2 linked regions of the Pelodiscus sinensis genome follow. The protein of the gene in region 2 interacts with the protein of the main gene of each other region in a pairwise test. Links are inferred from orthologs where the notes say so. Each region holds a gene or a part of one and is shown on either strand. Other genes may lie near its edges.

Region 1 (9,959 bases), on a different chromosome or scaffold from region 2:
CAGCCAGGAAGCGGTTATGCCCTTGGTCAGAGCTGAGTGCAAATGAAGAAGACTCTGATCCCCCTAAAAAGAAGTGGGGGACAGTTATTGACTGAGCAGCTGCCAATCATGAGCTGGGCAAGGACTGCTAACTCCATTGCACAACCCAGATATCTGCTGTAGACACAGAATATTCAGGCTCTGTGTTGGATTTTGGATGCGGTGTTGTGAATCTGGGAAAGAGAAGGGTTAAGAGAAGTGCTTCATGGTGATTCTGTGAGGCTAAAAGGATTTCTTCTGCCAATTTTTGAATGTATAATCTCTTTCAGATAATAAACAAAGCCTTGTGCATAACTAGAGTAGAATGTAAGAGAAATAAATTTTTAACACTGGTTGAAATAGAGTGCCATAGAACTGCCAATGTTTGATATTGTGTGTTTTATCAGCCCGTCTGCAGCTCCGTATCAGGAATGTAGACTTGCTTTTCCACACGCCTGCGCAAACATAACTCTTGTGCATGTTTTGCCATGCTAGCAGATTCCCATAGCTCTTAGTTTCTGGGGGAATTTCATTTAACAATGGAATTAGTGGCATCTGTTTGAAGCACTTGGAGTTATAGCTTCAGGGGAAGGCCTGTGCAAGTAACTATTGGCAATAAAGCCCATGAGAGTCTTTTATTCAGTCACTTATGAAGGGTGTGAAATGAAGCAATAAAATAAGAGGGAAAGTGCGTAGACCTAGTATCTTCAGTTTTTTGTTTCTGCCTTGGTTGAAAATTGGTAGGGAGAAAGAAATTTAGTGTGATGAGAACTAAGGTGCCATTTAATTTTGTTTTACAATGTAGGAGCCATTTTTGGAGCTCTTCAGGACATTCTTGGAAGCCGTTCAGTTTCCAAGGAATATTACAGTCAGACAGGTCGTATACCTGACTGGTGCTGTCTCAATAACCCTCCTTTGGAAATGATGTTTGATGTTGGCAAAGCACCACCGCCACTCATGAAGAGGGCTTTTTCCACCGAGAAATAAGTATCTCAATACATTGCAGCTACACAAGGATTGTCTTCACCTGCTTCAAGCACACCTGTACAAGTTGCTTCTTGTGTATTTAGTGAATCAGGTGTAGCGCTGTTTAAAATGAATGATATAGGTGTCGTTTGGGGGCATCTTGTTGGCTGGAACTATATTGCAGTTGGATACAATTCTACATTTAGATTAAACCCCTCTCTCCCAAAACACCAGTTTTGACAAATGTGATTATGTGCTTTTTTTTTTCTTTTTATGGAAATAATGTAATTGGCACAAGTTGTTACTGAGTTGTTTGCGCTTTCTATATATGTACAGTAGATACAAAATTAAGAGGCTTAGTTTTAGATGTTTTTGTTTTGTTTTTTGTTTTAACCTCTTAGAAGAATAAAGAAGGTTCCTTGTGAAACCTTGTGGGGAAGTTTCTCTGCCACACTCACCATAAAACATTGCACATATTAATATAACCTGTTGGTTCATACATTAAAATGTCTCCTGGAAACGCAAGTGTTTTGTTGTGTGTCCATAGAGGTTGTTATAGAGACCGAGATTCCTGTATTCAGAAGCTGAACAGGGACTTGCTCCAGGATGAAGTTGTCAAAGTGTCAATTTACCTTGCCTGCTAACAACTTTTACCCCCCAAAATCTGACCACTTAGGAATTATACATGGAAAAACTTAAAATAATTAGTATGTGCTTGTTATTAGCATTAACTTTCTTTGGAATGGAGATGGAAATTAGCAGCAAAGCAAGATAGGTATTAAAAAAAAATAATTCGAAAGCAATAAATATGAAATAAAAATACAAAATTGAACTATAAGGTAAATGAGGTACAAAAATTGATACACAAACCAAAAGTAATAAAATACTTCCAATTCCTATCAGAGAATCAAATGAAAAAGTTTTTAGTCCTGTTGATGCAAATACTGTTAGCAACTGCAGAGTATAGAATTCCACCCTCCACTTTAATTATTTCAAAGGTCGGTTGAGTCAACAATTCACCCTTTTAAAAAAAGAATAATCGATATTTGGATGCACACAGCATGCTATTATCACATTAATTAATAGGATTTTATAAATTTGTTACTGCATACTGCAAGATTCTCTTACTCAGGAAAGTATCTGTAAAGTTTGAGAGTCTCGTGCACACACGTTTTTGTCAATTCTTATTATTTCCACCAGTATTTATAATATTGTTTTCTGTAGTATTTTGTGCACTCATGGTATATTGCCTTCTATTTGAGAATTATGAACACAAAGTGCACTTTAGTGACAAAGATTTGACTTACTTTTGACATTCCTCACTTAAAATTAAGGATCAGACTGCCATTAATTTATACCAATATGCCTGCCTCATAGCTATCTCCTGCTAAATGGTGATTTTCACCTACACTGTACTAACTACTGAAATACATGGATTCTTGTGCTTTTAAATCCTTAATATGAATGTGTAGATCACTGTTTAGATTTTTGTTTTAAGAATCTTTCATTACCACTAATAGGATTTTCATGGTTGATTCCTCCCTTGGCCCTTGCAGACTATTGATCAGTTTCTGGAGGTTACTAAAATGTAGTTTTAGAAATAAAATGTGCTTATATAGAAACAAAAATTACTGATTTTGAAACTAAACATAGTGTGGCGTGCAGTGGTATTTTTTTAATAGGTGTGTCCAAGAATCACTGTGTGAAGTTTTCTGGCTTGTATTACACATGAACTCAGACTTAATGATTATAGTAGCCTCTTCTTGCCTTAAATTGTTTTCTTTGCCAGCGTTATTGAGGAATACGTTTGAGCTAAGCAGATCTAGGCAGAATATCTCTAACATTAGCTACACTAATTTTTGTGTCCACACCTGGCATCTAGGCAGAATTTATCTGCGATAGTTTGTAATAGAAATCTTTGAACAATCACTGATAATGGCAAGTATTTAGCGCACTCCCCTATTTTTTTCTTTCTTACTATATATTTTAGAAATGTGTGTCTGTCTATCCATCCGTCTGTGAGCCCATTTGTTGAAAAACTCCTCTATATGGTAAAAGTGAGGACCACTAAATTTGGCATGCAGCTTTCTATTGTCATAACTTAAAGCAGGGTCATTGTGTGTCCATGCCAGGACAATGGGATGTACATGGAATGTGACTGTTTCACATCAAATGGAAAGGGAGAACTGTGGGAGCAGGGACGGTTTTACTCATGAATGACCAAGGGGGGGACAGCAAGTGCCCCAGCCCCAGAGAACAGCTGTTGGCTGGCAGCACAGCCGCCTGCCACATCTGCCTGCCTTGGGGAGCAACTGCTGGTTACTATGCAGCTCCCACCACCCCCAAGGAGCAGCCACTGACAGTGCCATGCAGCCACCATTGCCCCTGGCTGGCCCTACTGAATGCCAGAGAATGACCTGCATGGCACCTCTGCCCTGGGCCAGTCTCAGGGAGGGCTGGTGGGCAGCCTGCACAGCCCCTTCCAACTCCTAGGCTGGCCCAGGGGAGAAGCCTTGAAGAAGACAGCCCTTTGAGTGAAGTTTGCATGAGGCATGATGCTGTTGTCCCTGCCCCCACCTCTCCACACACACACACACACTGGTGTGAGACAGTCTTGAACCTTGTTATATCTGTTCTGGAAAAGTAAAAATGATTATCATCTGACTTCTGCCTAGTGTTAATCTGGAACATAGTAAGGCAGAGTTTCCTAAAACACTTGCATTTGGCTTGCCTTAACATTATAGAATAGCAACAACTATGAAAGCAGCCTGGTTAAACAATCCCCTCAGATAACCTTTTTAAAAATAAAGAATTAGTTTTCTTGTGCCACAGGGCCCAAAACTATTCCAAAAGCTAAAGGCACCTGCCAGTTTGTAGGATTGGGCCCCTGAACAAATACACCCTCACATGGGGCTCTCAGATATCACTCCTGGAGAAATTACGCACCACTGCAGAATTTGCGTTCCCTGCAGAAAATACATTTTGCCAGCGATACACTGCAATTACTTCTGCCCACCAGGGAGCAGTATCATGCTGGAACAGAGGGCAGCTGGAGCATGTGCAGGAGCAGCCAGTTACAGAGGGGGAGGAGAGGCTTCTTTCTTTACCCTGGCCGCACTGAGGAGACAGTTATGGGAATATGGGGGGAAGGAGGAGAGAAATCAGGGCACACGGGGTCGTTGGGGGAGTCACTTAAGCTGGAGTTCAGAAGGGCTAGCAGAGAACCAGGCTGGAGTAGAAGCATTGCATGGGGGGTGCAGGCACACATGGAGGGGGAGGAGGTGGTGGAGTGGGGGTGCAGGCACAAGGAGGGGGGGCAGGCACAAGGAGGAGATAGTGGAGTGGGGGAGCAGCTGGTGGAGAGTGGGGGCAGGCATAAGGAGGAGATGGAGTGGGGGTACAGGCACATGGGGGGGAGGTGGTGGAGTGGGGGTACAGGCACACGGGAGGAGGTGGTGGAGTGGGGGTACAGGCACACGGGGGAGGAGGTGGTGGAGTGGGGGTACAGGCACACGGGGGGAGGAGGTGGTGGAGTGGGGGTACAGGCACACAGGGGGGGAGGAGGTGGTGGAGTGGGGGTACAGGCACATGGGGGGAGGAGGTGGTGGAGTGGGGGTGCAGACACATGGAGGGGAAGTGGTGGAGTGGAGGTGCAGGCACATGGAGGGGGAGGAGGTGGTGGAGTGGGGGTACAGGCACACGGGGAGGAGGTGGTGGAGTGGGGCTACAGGCACACGGAGGGGTCGGAGGTGGTGGAGTGGGGGTGCAGACATGGAGGGGAGGTGCAGGCACACGGAGGGGGAGGAGGTGGTGGAGTGGGGGTACAGGCACACGGGGGGAGGTGGTGGAGTGGGGGTGCAGACACATGGAGGGGTCGGAGGTGGTGGAGTGGGGGTGCAGGCGCACATGGAGGGGGAGGAGGTGGAGGAGTGGGGGTGCAGGCGCACATGGAGGGGTCGGAGGTGGTGGAGTGGGGGTGCAGGCGCACATGGAGGGGTCGGAGGTGGTGGAGTGGGGGTGCAGGCGCACATGGAGGGGGAGGAGGGGGGGTGCAGGCGCACATGGAGGGGGAGGAGGTGGAGGAGTGGGGGTGCAGGCGCACATGGAGGGGGAGGAGGGGGGGTGCAGGAGGGGGAAGAGGCGGGGTGCAGGGACATATGCTGATAGGAGGAAGGGGGCTGAATGGGGTGCAGGAACACAAGGGGATTGGTGAATGCAGGACCTTACGAAGACAGGGGAAGGCAGGGGCTGAGTGGGGGTTCCCCACCCTTGGAGAGGGGCCCGGCTAGAGAGGCCCCTGCAGCGCTGCACGGTACTTCCTCCACCCCCCAGGTTCACCCTGCGGGGTTGTGTCTCGCTTTGCAAAGCGTATGGCCGAACCTGGCTCCTTCGCACGCAAACTGAGCTGTTGCCATCGCTGTTGGGGTAAAATTACAAGAACCAAGACAAGCCATCCATACTCACTAACAGTCGAAGAACAAAATCATCGCCCAACGTGGGGCTCGAACCCACGACCCTGGGATTAAGAGTCCCATGCTCTACCGACTGAGCTAGCCGGGCGTTGCACAATAGCTTCCTCCAGGGGCTATTCGAAATGTAGCCTGGAGCATGCGTAGAACTGATTATCTCGAGGCGCACTTACGAGACTCCTCCCCTCTCGAGTCACAGTCTCTGGCCGGCCGCGCCCTCGCGTCAGTGCCCCGTTGACGTTCACAAAGGAACCTTCTGTGGAAGCTGATTGGCTGTTGTGCGGACCAATGGGAACGCGCGCTGGCGCGCGCACAGCCCCGTGAACTCAGCGCAGCGTGTTGTGGGTCTGTCCGGCGTTCGTTCTCCGCACGGCTCCGCCGCCATGAGCTCCATCGGCACCGGGGTGAGTGCGCGTGCTCGCCGGGCCCGCCGCTGACAGAGTTTGCGGGGAGGGGGAGTCTGCGCGCGAGCCTTCCTCCCCCCCGCCCCCGCCCCCGCGGGGCGCGAGGCAGAGCGGCCGTTGTGCGCCGGGCCGCTCTGCTGAGTCACCTGGGCCCGCGCGACTGGGAAAGCGAAAGTGTAAGCGCGAGGCGGGGGCGGGGCACTAGGGGCCAAGGAAAGAGGAGGGGGTTTGGGGGAGGGGCACTAGGGGCCAAGGGGGGAGGGGCACCGGGGCCATGGAGAAAGGGGGGCTGGGGGAAGGGGCACTAGGGGCCAAGGGGGGAGGGGCACCGGGGCCAAGGAGAAATGGGGGGCTGGGGGAAGGGGCACTAGGAGGAAAGGGGGGCTGGGGAAAGGGGCACTAGAGGGAAAGGGGGGCTGGGGGAAGGGGCACTAGAGGGAAAGGGGGGCTGGGGGAAGGGGCACTAGGGGCCAAGGGGAAAGGGGGGGTTGGGTGGGAGGTGCCCTAGGGGCCATGGGGAAAGGGGCACTAGGGGCCAAGGAGAAAGGAGGGGCTGGGGTAGGGTTGCCAGATGGTTTCAACAAAAATACTGGACACACTTGACATTACATCACAATCTACATTACATCTTATTTAGAAAATACCAGACACTTATATTTTCTCGTTTCTATTTTCTCAATTTGTTTCCTGAACGGAAAGCTCTAGGGGCACTAGACCAATAGGCTCTCAGTTTTTTGGTTGTTGTCTTTTAAGGTTCCCAAAATATGTTATACGACAATTCAACATTTCTCCTGGAGTTAGAGGGTGCTGGAGCTCAGGGCTTCAGCCCCACCAGGTTTGTGGATCTCCTGAAACGATTCATGGACCCCCCCCAGTTGAAAACTGAGGAGCTGGGGGGCTATAGGAAGTGAAGTGAATGGGTATGTGGGAAGGATTTGGGGCTCTAGGAAGAGGGAATGGGGTTCTCTGTCCAGCCGCAGACCACTGATGTACTCTTCTCAGCGTATGGATGTTCTCTGCCCCATGACACCTACTCCCCCAATCTCTGCTGTGTTTTTTAAAAGGGGCATCTCATCTGCAGGGAGAGATTCAGGATGCCCTTCTCTGAGTTCAGGTGCATGTTGTCAGTGACCTGGGGATGAATTCTCTGCAGTGGCTGGGCACTTGCCATTCAACTTAGGGATATGCATGGTTAACTAGTTACCTAGTAAACATTCACCTTACCGGTATACTTACTGGGGTAACCAGTTAACTGGGGCCCAATCAGAGCTGGCTGACCCCCAGTCTGAAGCACAGAGCAGCCTGGCTGGGTTCACTGTGCTACATGGCAAGTGAGGGCCTAGCCTGGCTTAGCTGAGCTGGTAACAACTGCGCCTTCTGCACCACTGGCTGATTAACCCATTAAACACAGTTTAACCAGTTAACATTTTAAATGGGAGTTTACATCCCTAATTTATAGAGCAAGGATGGGCAATAATTTTCGATGGGGGGCCACTCTGAGAATTTGGTAAGTGGTCAGGGGCTGCACTTTTCTATGATCTTAACAGGGAAGTGCAGGGTCTGGGATGGAGTTTGGCTACAGGAAGAAGTTCTGGGTAGTAGGAGATTGTGACCTGGGGCTAGGGTGCAGAGAGCTTGGGTGCAGGAGGGAGCTGTGACCTGGGGTTGGGGTACAGGAAGGGGTGTCAGGTGCAGGCTCTGTCCGGAAGATGCTCACCATAGGCGGCTCCCAGCTGGTGGCCCAGCTCAAGTGACTGGCTGCTGGGGCCAGTGGATGTGTCTCCGTAACCTGCCCCTGCCCCATCACCATCCTTGCAGCCTCCCATTTGTCAGAAACTCGCCAGTGGCAGTGCTTGTGGGCACATGTAGTACACAGATCTGCTGCTCTCTTTCCCCTGCTGGCTGCTTTTGCCCACAACTGTTATAAAGGATGCTATTTTCTATAGACATGCACACTGAGCAAGTGCTTGGCAAGGATCTCTGCCATTCTGACCTGGGATAATGCAGTACGTAAGACTATGGGGCTGCGTCTACACTGGCAAGATTTTGCGCAAGAACACTGACGTTGTAATGTACAAAATCAGTGCTTCTTGCGCAAATACTTTGAAACTCCTGCTCAGAGATAAGTCCTTTTGCGCAAGAGGCCGGTGTAGACAGGTAACATCAAGTTCTTGTGCAAGAAAGCCCGATGGCTAAAATGGCCATTGAAGCTTTCTTGCGCAAGAGAGCATCTATACTGGCATGTGCCTTTGCGCAAAAGATTTGCTTTTGCGCAAAAGCATCCAATCTTTTGCGAAAGGCACATGCCAGTATAGACGCTCTCTTGCGCAAATACTTTTAGCGGGAAAAACTTTTCCATTAAAAGTATTTGTGCAAAATCATGCCAGTGTAGACGCAGCCTGGTTGTGTCTGCACTACAGATGTTACAGTAGCACAACTATAACCAATATATGCTGAGACACATCATTTTTGCACTGGGATAATTAAACCACATGAGCAGAGGTAGCTATGTCAACTTAGCTTTGTCTGTGAACTTATGTTGGTCAAGATGTATTTTTAACACTCCTGATTGACAAAATTTTACTGACAAAAGTGCTAGTGTAGATATAGCCTTTGGCTCGGTAAGAAATAATAAAAAGATAATCTGATTAAGAATGAATCAGACCTGAAAACTGTTTTTTGGGAACATTGGATGGTCTGGATTAAACTTACATATTCATAATGGATGCTTTCATGAAATAGCCTCTCCAACATATTCATAAATGATCTGAAAAAAAGGAGCAAACAGGGAGGTGGCAAAATTTGCAGATGGTACAGACCAGGCCCATGGCTGGAAGGGAGGTGCTCCAGCCCATACATGTTAACTGCAACCAGTAAGCATCACTTGTTAAGGGTACTTATTGATTAACCTTTCATGTCCCTATCATCAAGTGATCCATCCTTTGTCATCCCATTACAGACAACAGGAACAGCCCCTGCCTATGATGTGCCTAGGCCTGCGGTAGACCAGTCTGCCTGTGGCCTTTTTGCCTGCCTCCTCACCCTCCCCCCATAATTGGCTAACTGGTTAAACATCACATCGAACCCGTCAAACATCATGTCAAACCGGTTAATCAGTTGAACAGGATTTTACATAACCTGTTCTGTTAATTTCCTCTGGGGCACCTGGCATTGGCCACTGTCAGAAGAGAATGCTGGGCTAGATGGACCTGGAGTCTGACCTAGTATGGCCGTTCTTGTACAGATTTTCTCCAGAGACTCACTTTAAGACTTTTCATAGAAAAATAGCTTGGTACTACCGCTGTGTGAGCTGTATTTGTAAATGTATGCTGAGCAATATGTTTGTTTTTCTTCCTTTACAGTATGACCTGTCAGCTTCCACATTCTCTCCAGATGGCAGAGTATTTCAGGTTGAATATGCTATGAAAGCTGTGGAGAATAGCAGGTAAGATGAATGTCTTTGTTTTTTGTTTCACTTGTTTATTTAAAAATGACAAGAGAAATGTGATTAGGGCAGACAGTTAAAATGATATTGCAAAAAAAAAAAAAAATTGCACTCCTGAAATAAGTGATAAGTAATTGTATGACTGTATTAATCTCAGGAAGTTCTTCAGATTAAATATAAAGGGAGTATAGTTGCCCTTATTTGTTCTTTAGTTTGGTCAAAAACCGATTGCATATGTTCTTAGTATATATGGTACATACATATTATAGTAATAGACTATATTAATAGCAAAAGTCCATATAAGTGATGGTGAACTGAGGCACTGAGAAATAAGGTAGCAGCTGTAGAAATGTAAATATTGTGCTGTAGCACAATCTGGATATGTTGACTATTAAATGCAGATAAAATGCTTTGAGGTATGGATCAAATCGTCCTATATTTGTACAGCATCCATGTCTCTGGATACAGTTGTAATAGAAAAAACATAGTTCAAAATACATCTGTGGTACACCAGCTAGTATGAATATCTAATATCTTTGGAGTATATCACCATTTTAATGACGTCATCAAAGGATAAAGATCTCTTACTTCTATAATACCTAAATCTCTGGAATATCCCATAAGTCTTAAATATGTGTCCAGAACTATTTTGCAGTA
Region 2 (10,306 bases):
GATTTGATCATGAAGAACATCATTAGTTAAGCCCTCCATTCATGCTGTCTGCAGAGTGCTCATTTTGACTGTGTCCATGAATATATTTTGTGTTTTATTTACATTCAGGCTTATAGAGAGTAGACTGATGGGCCCGGAGCTTCTACTTTGATGCATATATGTGAATTGGTTTGTTTTGATAAATTAATTGAGGAAACATGTATTCTACTACTGCAGCACAACAGAAAAACAACAAGGGTATTTCCACCACTAGTAATATATCCTAATAGACAACTGCACATGGCAGTTAGAAGTTTTGTTAAATATCAATGCACACTACCATTTGTTGTCGATTTGACTGGATTATAATGCAGCCACTGCAGTATGAAGCTCTCCTTTTCTTCTTCACTCAGTATAAAGTATAAAAGTATGAAGTATAAAAATAGTCTAGTAGATGGTTTACATATTAATGACTGATGCCATAATTAGGTGTGTTTGGTTTTTTGGGTTTTTTTTAAACCAATCAATGTCTGGAGTCAAAGTACAGAAGCCATGCTCTAGCCTGGTGAATCTGGCATCCTTATATTCAATGATAGCACATAGGTCTGATTTTTCTTCAACTTCACTTCTGAAAGCATCAAAAACATATGTTTTGTCTATCCCTGTGTCACGTTACTGGATCTTGAGGGGAGCAGCCAGATCACTGATGCACCCATAAGTGGGGGTGTTGGCCCCAAAAATGGTATAGAAGGGGGCCATGTGAGGTATTGAATAGAAGCTTACTGTCTGATAATCCTATGTACGCTGTTCATGTGTTTGTATAATGTCTGTGTATGCAATTATTAGCATGTAATTGTATGGATACTGAAGATTTCCCTGCATGTGGTTGAGCATTGGGCAGGGCCAGGCCTGTGGACATGCTAATTAGCGAGGCCCTGTGGGACAATGGCTTTCAATGGGCCAAGGACACACCTAAAGAATGGGGGCTGTCACCTGAGAGCTGCCAGCAGGGAACACAGAGATTGGCCTCTGACCAGGTGACCTGCTACAGCCAAGAAGGGACCAGGAAGGAGGGATAAATAGGCCATGTGGTCAACGCCATCTTGTTCTCAGCTCAGCACTTCATCCCAGAGGCAGCATTGCAGGGATCGAAGAGCCCGGAAGACCAGTGAACCCATCCTGATGCTAGGATGTGCAACAAGAACTTTTAAACCAGCAGCTGTAACATCTCTGCTAGAGCCTGCATCGAGGGCTGGGAGTTTCGATGCATGTGATGTATGATTCTTTAGCAACCTTACTCTCATGCTTTTCTTTCTGGTGATAATAAACCTTTAGATATAGATTCTAAAGGATTGGCCCAGCGTGATTTGTGGGTAAGATCCAGAGGGTAAATTGACTAGGGATCTGTGGCTGGTTTCTTGGAACCGGACAGGACTTGTTTGGGGTAGGTGGGATTGGGTGCTAGGACCCCCCATCTGTGTATGAGGCCCGGGGCCATCTGGGGCACGGATATTGCTGGGGTGTCAGAGGGGTTTTGCTCGTGAGGCTTCAGGCAGGCAGCTGAAGCGCTCTGTGAGACTGGTTTGTGGCCTGTTTGGAGAGGTCACCAGTCTGGGGGCTGTAAGGAGCCCCGGATTTGAGCAATTCGCCCTGAGCAGACGCCCTCAGCTGTGCCCAGACTTGGCCCGGCACACCCTGAGGAAAGTTTTTTGATTTAAGAGCCAAGAATTTCTTTCAATGTTGTGGGGGTACAGCACAGCACTTTAGCTTTTGAAAAGCTTCACAAAAATAAATGCTCTTTTTGAAAAGTAAGAGATGTCAGTCACCATGAAGTTTGTAATTCAAGATGGACTCAATATGACTCAAATATCTCTGTCTTGATCTCTAGGATAATGCTTCTCCTCTGACTATATCAGCTCTTGACTAAATTCTGCAGTATGTTCCAAATGGGGAACAACCAAATTATTATATTTGATCATTGTTTTCGGTGTAGCAATCCTGCATACAAGGTGGATCTCCATAAAATAATTTACTAATAGCTTGAAATACTGGAAGTTGTTGTCATATTTTGGGACTTAGGACTATTGGGAAATGTTTTTCAAAATAAATACAGATTTTACTCTGACTGTTAAAATGGTGCATGATATGCCTCCATCATCCCTTTTCATATCCTCCTTACATTACTCATACTCAGTACTTGGCAGAAATGCCATTTGACTACATACTCTTTCTCTGAGGAATGACTAAATACTTCTGGAATGGCACATATATTTAAAGTTAACCCTTTGCTATGTTGACTCTCTCCTCAGGCACTATGCTACCAGCACTTCTAACTATCTTCAAGTCACCACTGACTTCCTGAGGAAACGACAGAGCATCACTAATCTTCCTGAAAACACCATCTGGCTACCATAGATGAAGAAGCTCTTTATACAAACATTTCACATGAAGATGCACTACAAGCTGTTAGGAACAGTATCCCTGATAATGCCACAGCATACCTGGTGGCTAAGCGTGTGACTGTGTCCTCACCCATAACTATTTCCATTTTGGGGACAATCTATATCTTTAAGTCAGTGCACTGCTATGGGCACACATATGGCCCCACAAAATGCTAACGTTTTTATGGCTGACCTAGAACAATGTTTCCTCAGCTCCCTTCTCCTGCCACACCTTCTCTACTTACACTACATTGATGGCATCATCACCATATAGACCCACAGGAAGGAGACTCTTAAAAAATTCCACAGAGATTTCAACAATTTCCACCCCAGTATCAACCTCATCCTGGACCAGTCCACACAAGAGATTCACTTTCTTGACAATACAGTACAGATAAATAATGGTCACACAAAGACCACACTAAACTAGAAACCTACTGACCACTATTCTTATTTACATGCCTCTAGCTTCCATCCAGGACACATCACACAATCTGTTGTCTACAACCAAGCCATAAGATACAGCCAGACCTGCTCCAATCCCACAGACAGAGACAAATTCCTATGCAATCTTTATCAAGCATTCTTTAAACTTAAATACCCACTTGGGGAAGTGAGGAAACAGATTGACAGAGCCAGAGAAGTACCCAGAAGTCACATAGTTCCAGACAAAACAAGGAAAATAACAGAACACCACTGGTCATTACCTACAGCCCCTAGCTTAAACCTCTCCAGTGCATCATTGACAATATACAACCTGTCCTGGAAAACAACCCCTCACTCTCACAGACCTTGGGAGACAGGCCAGTCTTTACCTTCAGATACACTCACCCAGGAACCTACCGCTGCCACAAACCTAGTTGCCAACTCTGTCCACACATCAATACAGGCAACGCCATCACAGAACCTAACCACATATGTCACAACATCTGCGGCTCATACAACTGCACATCCTCTAATATGATGTATGACATCAAGTGCCAGCAATGCCCCTCTGCCAATGCCCCTCTGCTAAGTCTCTGTGACAAAGGATTAATGGACACAAATCTGTCGGGAATGGTAACACAAACCTATAGGGGGACATTTTAACCTCCCTGAATATTCTATAATGGATTTAAAAGTAACTATTCTTCTACAAAGGAATTTTATCACCCAATTACAGAGGGAGACTGCTGAACTTGGAATTCATTTACAAGTTCGACACCATCAACTTGGGCTTGAATAAAGATATTAATTGGTTAACACTCTACAAAGGTAATTTTCCATGCCTTTGATATACACATTTGCACATCAAAAACTATGAATGGGACACATCTAGCATTATTAACACTGGTCCTACAATAGACAGGTAACTGCTTTTGCTGTTATATATACTCTGTATTCTGTAATTTCCAATCCAACTCATGTAATGAAGTGGGTTTTACTCATGAAAGCTCAGGATATAATATATTTGTTAGTTTCTAAGGTGCCACAGGTCTACCCTTTTCATCTTTGTTTTTTTATTTGCCCCCTCGTTAATGTTTTATCTTTTCCACATACAACAGGAAATACTAGTCACATCATTCTTTCACCCGCCTAGTTATGTCAAAGCCTGACTTTCATAATTAAAGTTTTAAGTGGCTTAAATATGAATTGAAGGTTTTTACAATTAAGTCAGTGGTAAGACTTCTCCTGGGAATAGTACCAGTACTATTCTATGCATAAAGGTACTTTTTCAGTCTGTCAGCTTTTCATGTCTCATTATTGTACAGTAAATAACAATTTATTAATAATATAGGACAATTGACCAAATTCTACTCTCATTAACAATGGATTTATACTTCTATAATGCCGTTAATTTCAACAAGGTTCATTTAACTTTATACCTTTAGTGTTCATCAAAAAGCCTTCCACCCTTTGCTACCACACGGAAAAACTATCAGGGCACAAAGATGACTTTTTACTCAATGCTTGTTGAAGACAGTCCAGGGAAAAACCTGAAACCCTTAATGGCACCAATGTTTGTCTTAGAGTAAAAATGTCAATAAATTCACAAATTGGTGAAAGAAAAATAATTTTCTATGGGTTGTTACTGTGACTGGATGAAAAATAAGCAGCCATGAAAATGAAGAGTGGAATATAACAAATTGATTCATAAGCAGGGGTGGGCAACAGACTTGCTGGGCTCTGGGCAAGGAGGCGAGAGGTGGGGGGTGGGGGAATAGCGCCATGCTCCCAGAAGAGGTAGGATCTCGGGAGGAAGGGGAAGGACTGGGGGAAGCCCTCGGCACCACCCGAAGCATGCTGTGCTAGCCTCCTCACCACACCCAGACCTCAGAACTGCCCAGAGTGCGCGGCACTATGCTCCAGTGGCAATTATAAGGGCCTGGGGCTCTGGCCAATGTTCCTGTAAGTGCTGCGGTGGAGGTATGGAGCCCAAGACCCTAGGAAAATTGCTGGGCCCTAGGGCTGCTGCCCTCTTTGCCCCTGCTTTCAGCAGGCCTATTCATAAGTATGGTCATTCACTCACTGTGCCTTTCTTTATCTCTTCAGCATCTGAGGAAGTGAGTTGTAGCTCATGAAAACTTATGTTTTAATATCCTAATAAATTTGTTAGTCTTTAAAGTGCCACCAGACTCCTTGTTGTTTAAATTCAGTTCTGCCTCTTTTCCCACTTAAGCAGCATTAAAATATATCTACAGCATGATAAATCTAATTTTGATATACACAGCGGCATTTTGCATGTATGCTATGGTTTTCCATTCTTAGAAAGGCTGAATTAATCTCTGGTGTAATTCTGACTTCAGATAAATATGACCCCTACACTTTATCTATGAGACTCAAAAAGTGTTTCAGTTTTATAACATTCTGTAAAAGTTAAATTTGTTAATTTATTTTTAACGCACCAAGAGATGTTTCATTCCTTTCTCTCTCTCTCTCTCTCTCTCTCTCTGTGTGTGTGTTGTTTTTACTGTGACATAAGATTTCTCCTTGTTTGGCATGTAGGATTATGTTATCTGTACCCTTTTGGCTAATGGAGTTCTCTGCATGAGATATGGGCATTTTAATCCTAGATACTACTTTTAGAACTTCATTTGTTTTGTTGTAGTTGCACAGAGACAGCTATAAATTAGTCCTTATGAAGCCAATAATGCAGATATAATACTTGAGGAATTCCTTTTGGTTCAGTTGTATTTATTTTTCCAAACATTTTGTTTGAGCGAAAATGAGATGGCTATCTACTGTTTCCTTATTTTTTTGCAGGAAAGCAAAGAGTTGTTGACTTCCTCTCCCCTCCCTTCCTTCCTTCTTTCTGAAGGTACTGTACTCATCTGAAAAAAGAGAACGAAGTGATTGTTCCTGTTCTCTTTCTTAAGTCATTTGAAACATTGTCCTTGCTCATTTTCTAAGTTTACTGCAATCTCAATACAGGGAGCAGGAGAGATTGCCAACAGGAAAGCAGGTAGAGAGCTTAGCTCATTCCAACTTCAACAATTGGTAAGTTTACCATGAAAGAGTTTTTACTGAAATCTTTGTTAGTTTAGTAGATATATCTATAAATATAGGAAAGTTATTTATCAACTACTAGTTTAAAAATAATGACTGTATGCCTTGACATGTGGTATATGTTGTCATTATAACATATCTACTGGCAGTTTTTTAAATACTGCTATTAGTTGTATGAGGTATAATCAATATATTGAGGAATGATTTCTCAGTGAGATTGATAATCTTTGCAGTTTTCAATAGTGCAAATTCTTTCATATGAAGCTGAGTAGTTGACCTTTCCTTTCCAGCAGCCATTGTAGCTTGTTACACACTTCACTGACTTTATAGTGAAAGTTTCAGTAAGGTTTACTGGGACCTCACAAAGGCAGAGATAGGGTTAGTAGGTATGCAATTGATAGGCTAGTATAGTTTGTTCATCTCTGACCATTACCTAGGACATATTCATTCAAGTATTATATGAGCAACTGAACTGTCATCGAGCTGTCCCATAAAAAAGAAAGAATTACTACTCTTTTTTTTAAAACAGAGCTTTATTGGGTGTGTGAATACACGTTTGTATCTCTCAGTACCTTTGATATATGCAGTCTGAAAGCAGTGATATTTGAACACTTGAGTGAGATCCAGTTTCATTTTTAAAAGACTAAGTTACAACCAATGTCATAAATAGTAAGATTATCCACCAAGGATGATAACATGATAAAATGCTATCTACTCAGTTATATTTTTTATCAACCAATGGCCCGTCAACTACAGTTTCTAATGATCAAGTTAGCAAAGTCTGACTGCACATTTAGCAAAGAGTGTGATGTAAGCATGTAAGTTATTTGTATAAGGCAGGCAACAACACAAATAGCAACTTTTATACAAGAAGGCATAGTAGGAATGAGGAGTAGAATGTGTCACGTTTCTACAAAAGAGTATCTAGATCATCGCTTGGCCCCATATTAACTTGTCTGTGAGACATCAGAATGTTTTGTGGGACATCAAGTCCCTGGCTGCTTAGCTCCTAATGCAGGGCAGGGCACTCGAGACCAGGTACAGACAACTCTGGCTGGTGATGGATCCTCTGAGATTCATGGGTTCTGGGGGTTGTGCTTCCTCTGAAGTGGGAATATACTTTTCCCCCAATGACTGAATGAACACATTTTTCTTCCTTGTGATTCTTTTCTATACTCCCCTCTCCCCCTTTTCCAATGGTAGGGAGTGATCTATCCCAAATTAGCAAGCTTTCTGATAAAATTACATGTTTCTCCAGTACTTTATAACTAATGTTAAAAAGAAGGAGTTAATCAATGTATTGTTTAATATGGTTTGAAATTAAACGTACCAATTTATCTAATTTGGTGCTATTCATGAGCTTTGGATGATACGTCACCTACAAAATGTTTTCTAAGGTTACCAGTATAAACCAGTTTTCAAGTGTACGCAAGAAAATGAGATGCATACTTTTTTTATTTGGATGCCCAGTTTGGCACTTAGTTGGACATAAAGGCCACTTTATGTGACCAAGTTCTGATTCAGACAACCAAATGTAGAGTTTGGATAGTTATTTAGGTGGCTACGTCTGAAAACTGGGTCCCCATTAATATGTCAGTTACGATAATCAGAGAAGCCTTTTTATGCCATTTGCTTGGAATGGCAGATTTTTTCTGTTCTACTGCTGTTCCCACTATTGATGGGTCCCACCTGCAAAATTTTGATCTGGGATTGCAGACGCCCCAAAATTCTGGGAAGGTTGAATCCAGCATTTAGGCTCAATCCGTGATTAAGTTGGGAGCCAACTACAAAATTTAGATCCAGATTTCAGTGTTAATAATCTCAGCAAATTCATATACACTTGAAATCTGGGCCCATGTTTACTAGATATCCCGTCTGAGAATTTGGAAAAAAGAGAATTCTATGATCCCGAAGCAAAAAAGCATGTATACTTGTTGTTGTAGTAGCTAATCCAAACATAAAATGCTGATTTTAGACTCAGTTCTCTATTAATATTTATGTAAAATAGCAATGTAGAATGACACTTTATAATTTAGTTGTAAATACAGTCCCTGAGTTTTGTGCTTCATTCTTGGATTATGCGCTTCAGTTACATTTCTCTTTGATACAATACATTTTTGTTGGTCATTTGCAATGGGTATAACATTGTGCACTTTTGTTATAAAATCACTACAACATGATTTTATAAAATAATACCATTATAACTAACTAACTAACTTCGCTTTGAGAGATTTGGAAATGGAGTTTTGTCCTTATCTCACTTTGCTGCGAAAAAGTTATAGGCAGAGAATCTGGGGCTATGTCTACACTGCAGAGTTCTTTCAGAAAAATGGCCATTTTCCCAAAAAACCTTCACTTACATCCACACCCCAATTGCGTTCTTTTGAAAAAAGAATCGAAAGAACAGAGGTTTTTTCCCAACATTGGTAAACCTCTATCCACAAGGAAGAAGCCTTTTTTCTGAAAGAGCTCTTTCAGAAAAAGGCGTGTTTGGATAGGGAAGAGGGAGTTCTTTCGAAAGAAGAAGACTCCAGAAAAAAACACAGGTGTTCTGTTGGCCATTCCGTCCATAGTAATCACAGCTTAAATGTGAGATAGCGTTCATTCAGTGTGGACACTGTCTTTTGAAAAAGCAGATCACTTTTTCGATGTGCTTTGGCAGTGTGGATATTCTCTTTCAGAAGAAGTTTTTTCAGAAGATCTCTTCTGGAAAAGCTTCCTCCAAAAGAAGCCTACAGTCTAGATGTAGCCATAGGTTATGAATGCTAGCCTCCATAAATTTAAGTGTGTAAGTTTAGAGAGTATGTTTAATGTTTATGAAATAGATTTTTAGTGATTAGTGATTAATTCCTATGTTATTAAGGAAGGCAATAAAACAGGTATTTATCAGAGACACACTTTTTTATCTTATTTAAAAGCTTATTAGTGCCTTTCTTTAAAAAACCCCAAAACATAGTGACAATATAGTTTTGAGTAGAGCTGTTTGAAACTCCAATTCCCATTCAACAGGATATTCTGAATATGTTTTAAAAAATTGTTCCAAAATAAAAATGAAATGAAAATTCCAAAATTTCATTTGTAAATGTTGAAATGTTTCATTTCAATAAGGTAAAACCTTTTTTTAATAACATGACTTTCATTTCAAATTTATCTGACTTGACTTATATTTTAAAATTAGATAATATAAAAAGGCAAAAGATTTCAACTTTTATCTTATAAGTTATAACAGAACATAACAAAAGTTGAAACAAAGTTGAAATGAAATATTTCAATTTTATCTAAATGAATCATTGCGAAATTTTCATTGAAAATTAACAAAAAAGTTTTATCGGGATATTTTTGGGATCAGCAGTAGTTTTGAACTATTATACACTAACTAGCAAATATATAAAAATAATGAGTAGCCCCATGGCGCCTTAGAATATAATATTTTTTATATATTTTTACACACACACACACACACACACACAATCATGAGCTTTCCTGATGAGATACATCCAGATGAGATGCAGCTGAAGAAGTGAGTTTTGCCCAAGAAAGCTCATGATACTAAATCTATTTGTCACTCTCTAAGGTGCCAAGGGGCTACTCATTTTTAAAGTTACAGATTAAACACAGCTACCCCTCAGAGACTTTTTAGCTAATATATAGTTTAGTGTAAGGATAGGGGCTATGTCCTGCAGCCTTACTTCTGTGTGTAGCTCCATGGAAGTCATAGGAGAAAGGGATTAAAGTCAATGAGATTTTTTCTGTACAAAGAAGCTTTTCTGCTGGCATACATTTGTGGGAGTGCAGACATGCTAATACACAACAGCTGAAATTTGGCTCATGGGTTCTAAATGTTTAAAAGGTATTATTTCCTTTCACATTTTGGCATCTCTTTTACAGTTGTTGTGTTGTTCATATTTTTTGGCAATGGGAGAATTTTTACCTTGAGAGATCTGTATTTTACCCACAAACCTTGAAAGGTCTTGGCCTAATTGTTCTTAAAGCAGCTTGGGCATAATGTGGATACAGATAAGTTTTAAAGCTGTAATTATAATATTGTATATTTTTGAGGCACCACCAGAAGATAAATGTGTTGGCATGGATTAGAGTGGACGAAAACTTCTTGGCAGCTTCAAACCAGTAACCCAAGATAAGCCTGAAATAAAAATCACCACATTCCTAGAAGTAATCCTGGATTGATTGTAAGTAGGATTGAGAATTGATTATCCTAGGCAAAATGTATTGAAATTTTCAATTTTTGCATATCACAGGGACTCCAATACAGCAAAGCAATCTTCATGAATGGACCATTTCACCCATACAGATCCCTTTGTAGGTTTGGTCCCTTAGAAACAATAGCAATAATGCTTTGTAAAAGAAGATAAATATAGACAGAGATAAGTGTATTCATT

Evidence for each region. The genes of interacting proteins can lie anywhere in the genome.
Region 1: the proteins of ZNF366 (region 2) and PSMA3 interact in binary tests that used the Homo sapiens proteins (3 or more experiments, as listed by UniProt). The link is inferred for Pelodiscus sinensis from reciprocal best matches to the Homo sapiens genes ZNF366 and PSMA3.

The regions. Positions count from the first base shown.
Region 1 is NC_134714.1:11,337,885-11,347,843, forward strand, and holds the start of PSMA3 (proteasome subunit alpha type-3), read left to right. Parts: upstream 1-5,701; 5' UTR 5,702-5,836; coding exon 5,837-5,857; intron 5,858-9,219; coding exon 9,220-9,302; intron 9,303-9,959. Other genes in the region: ACTR10 (actin-related protein 10), read left to right, coding at 824-1,005. UniProt on the Homo sapiens protein: Component of the 20S core proteasome complex involved in the proteolytic degradation of most intracellular proteins. This complex plays numerous essential roles within the cell by associating with different regulatory particles.
Region 2 is NC_134716.1:82,423,804-82,434,109, reverse strand, and holds the start of ZNF366 (zinc finger protein 366), read left to right. Parts: upstream 1-5,739; 5' UTR 5,740-5,897; intron 5,898-9,965; 5' UTR 9,966-10,096; intron 10,097-10,306. UniProt on the Homo sapiens protein: Has transcriptional repression activity. Acts as a corepressor of ESR1; the function seems to involve CTBP1 and histone deacetylases.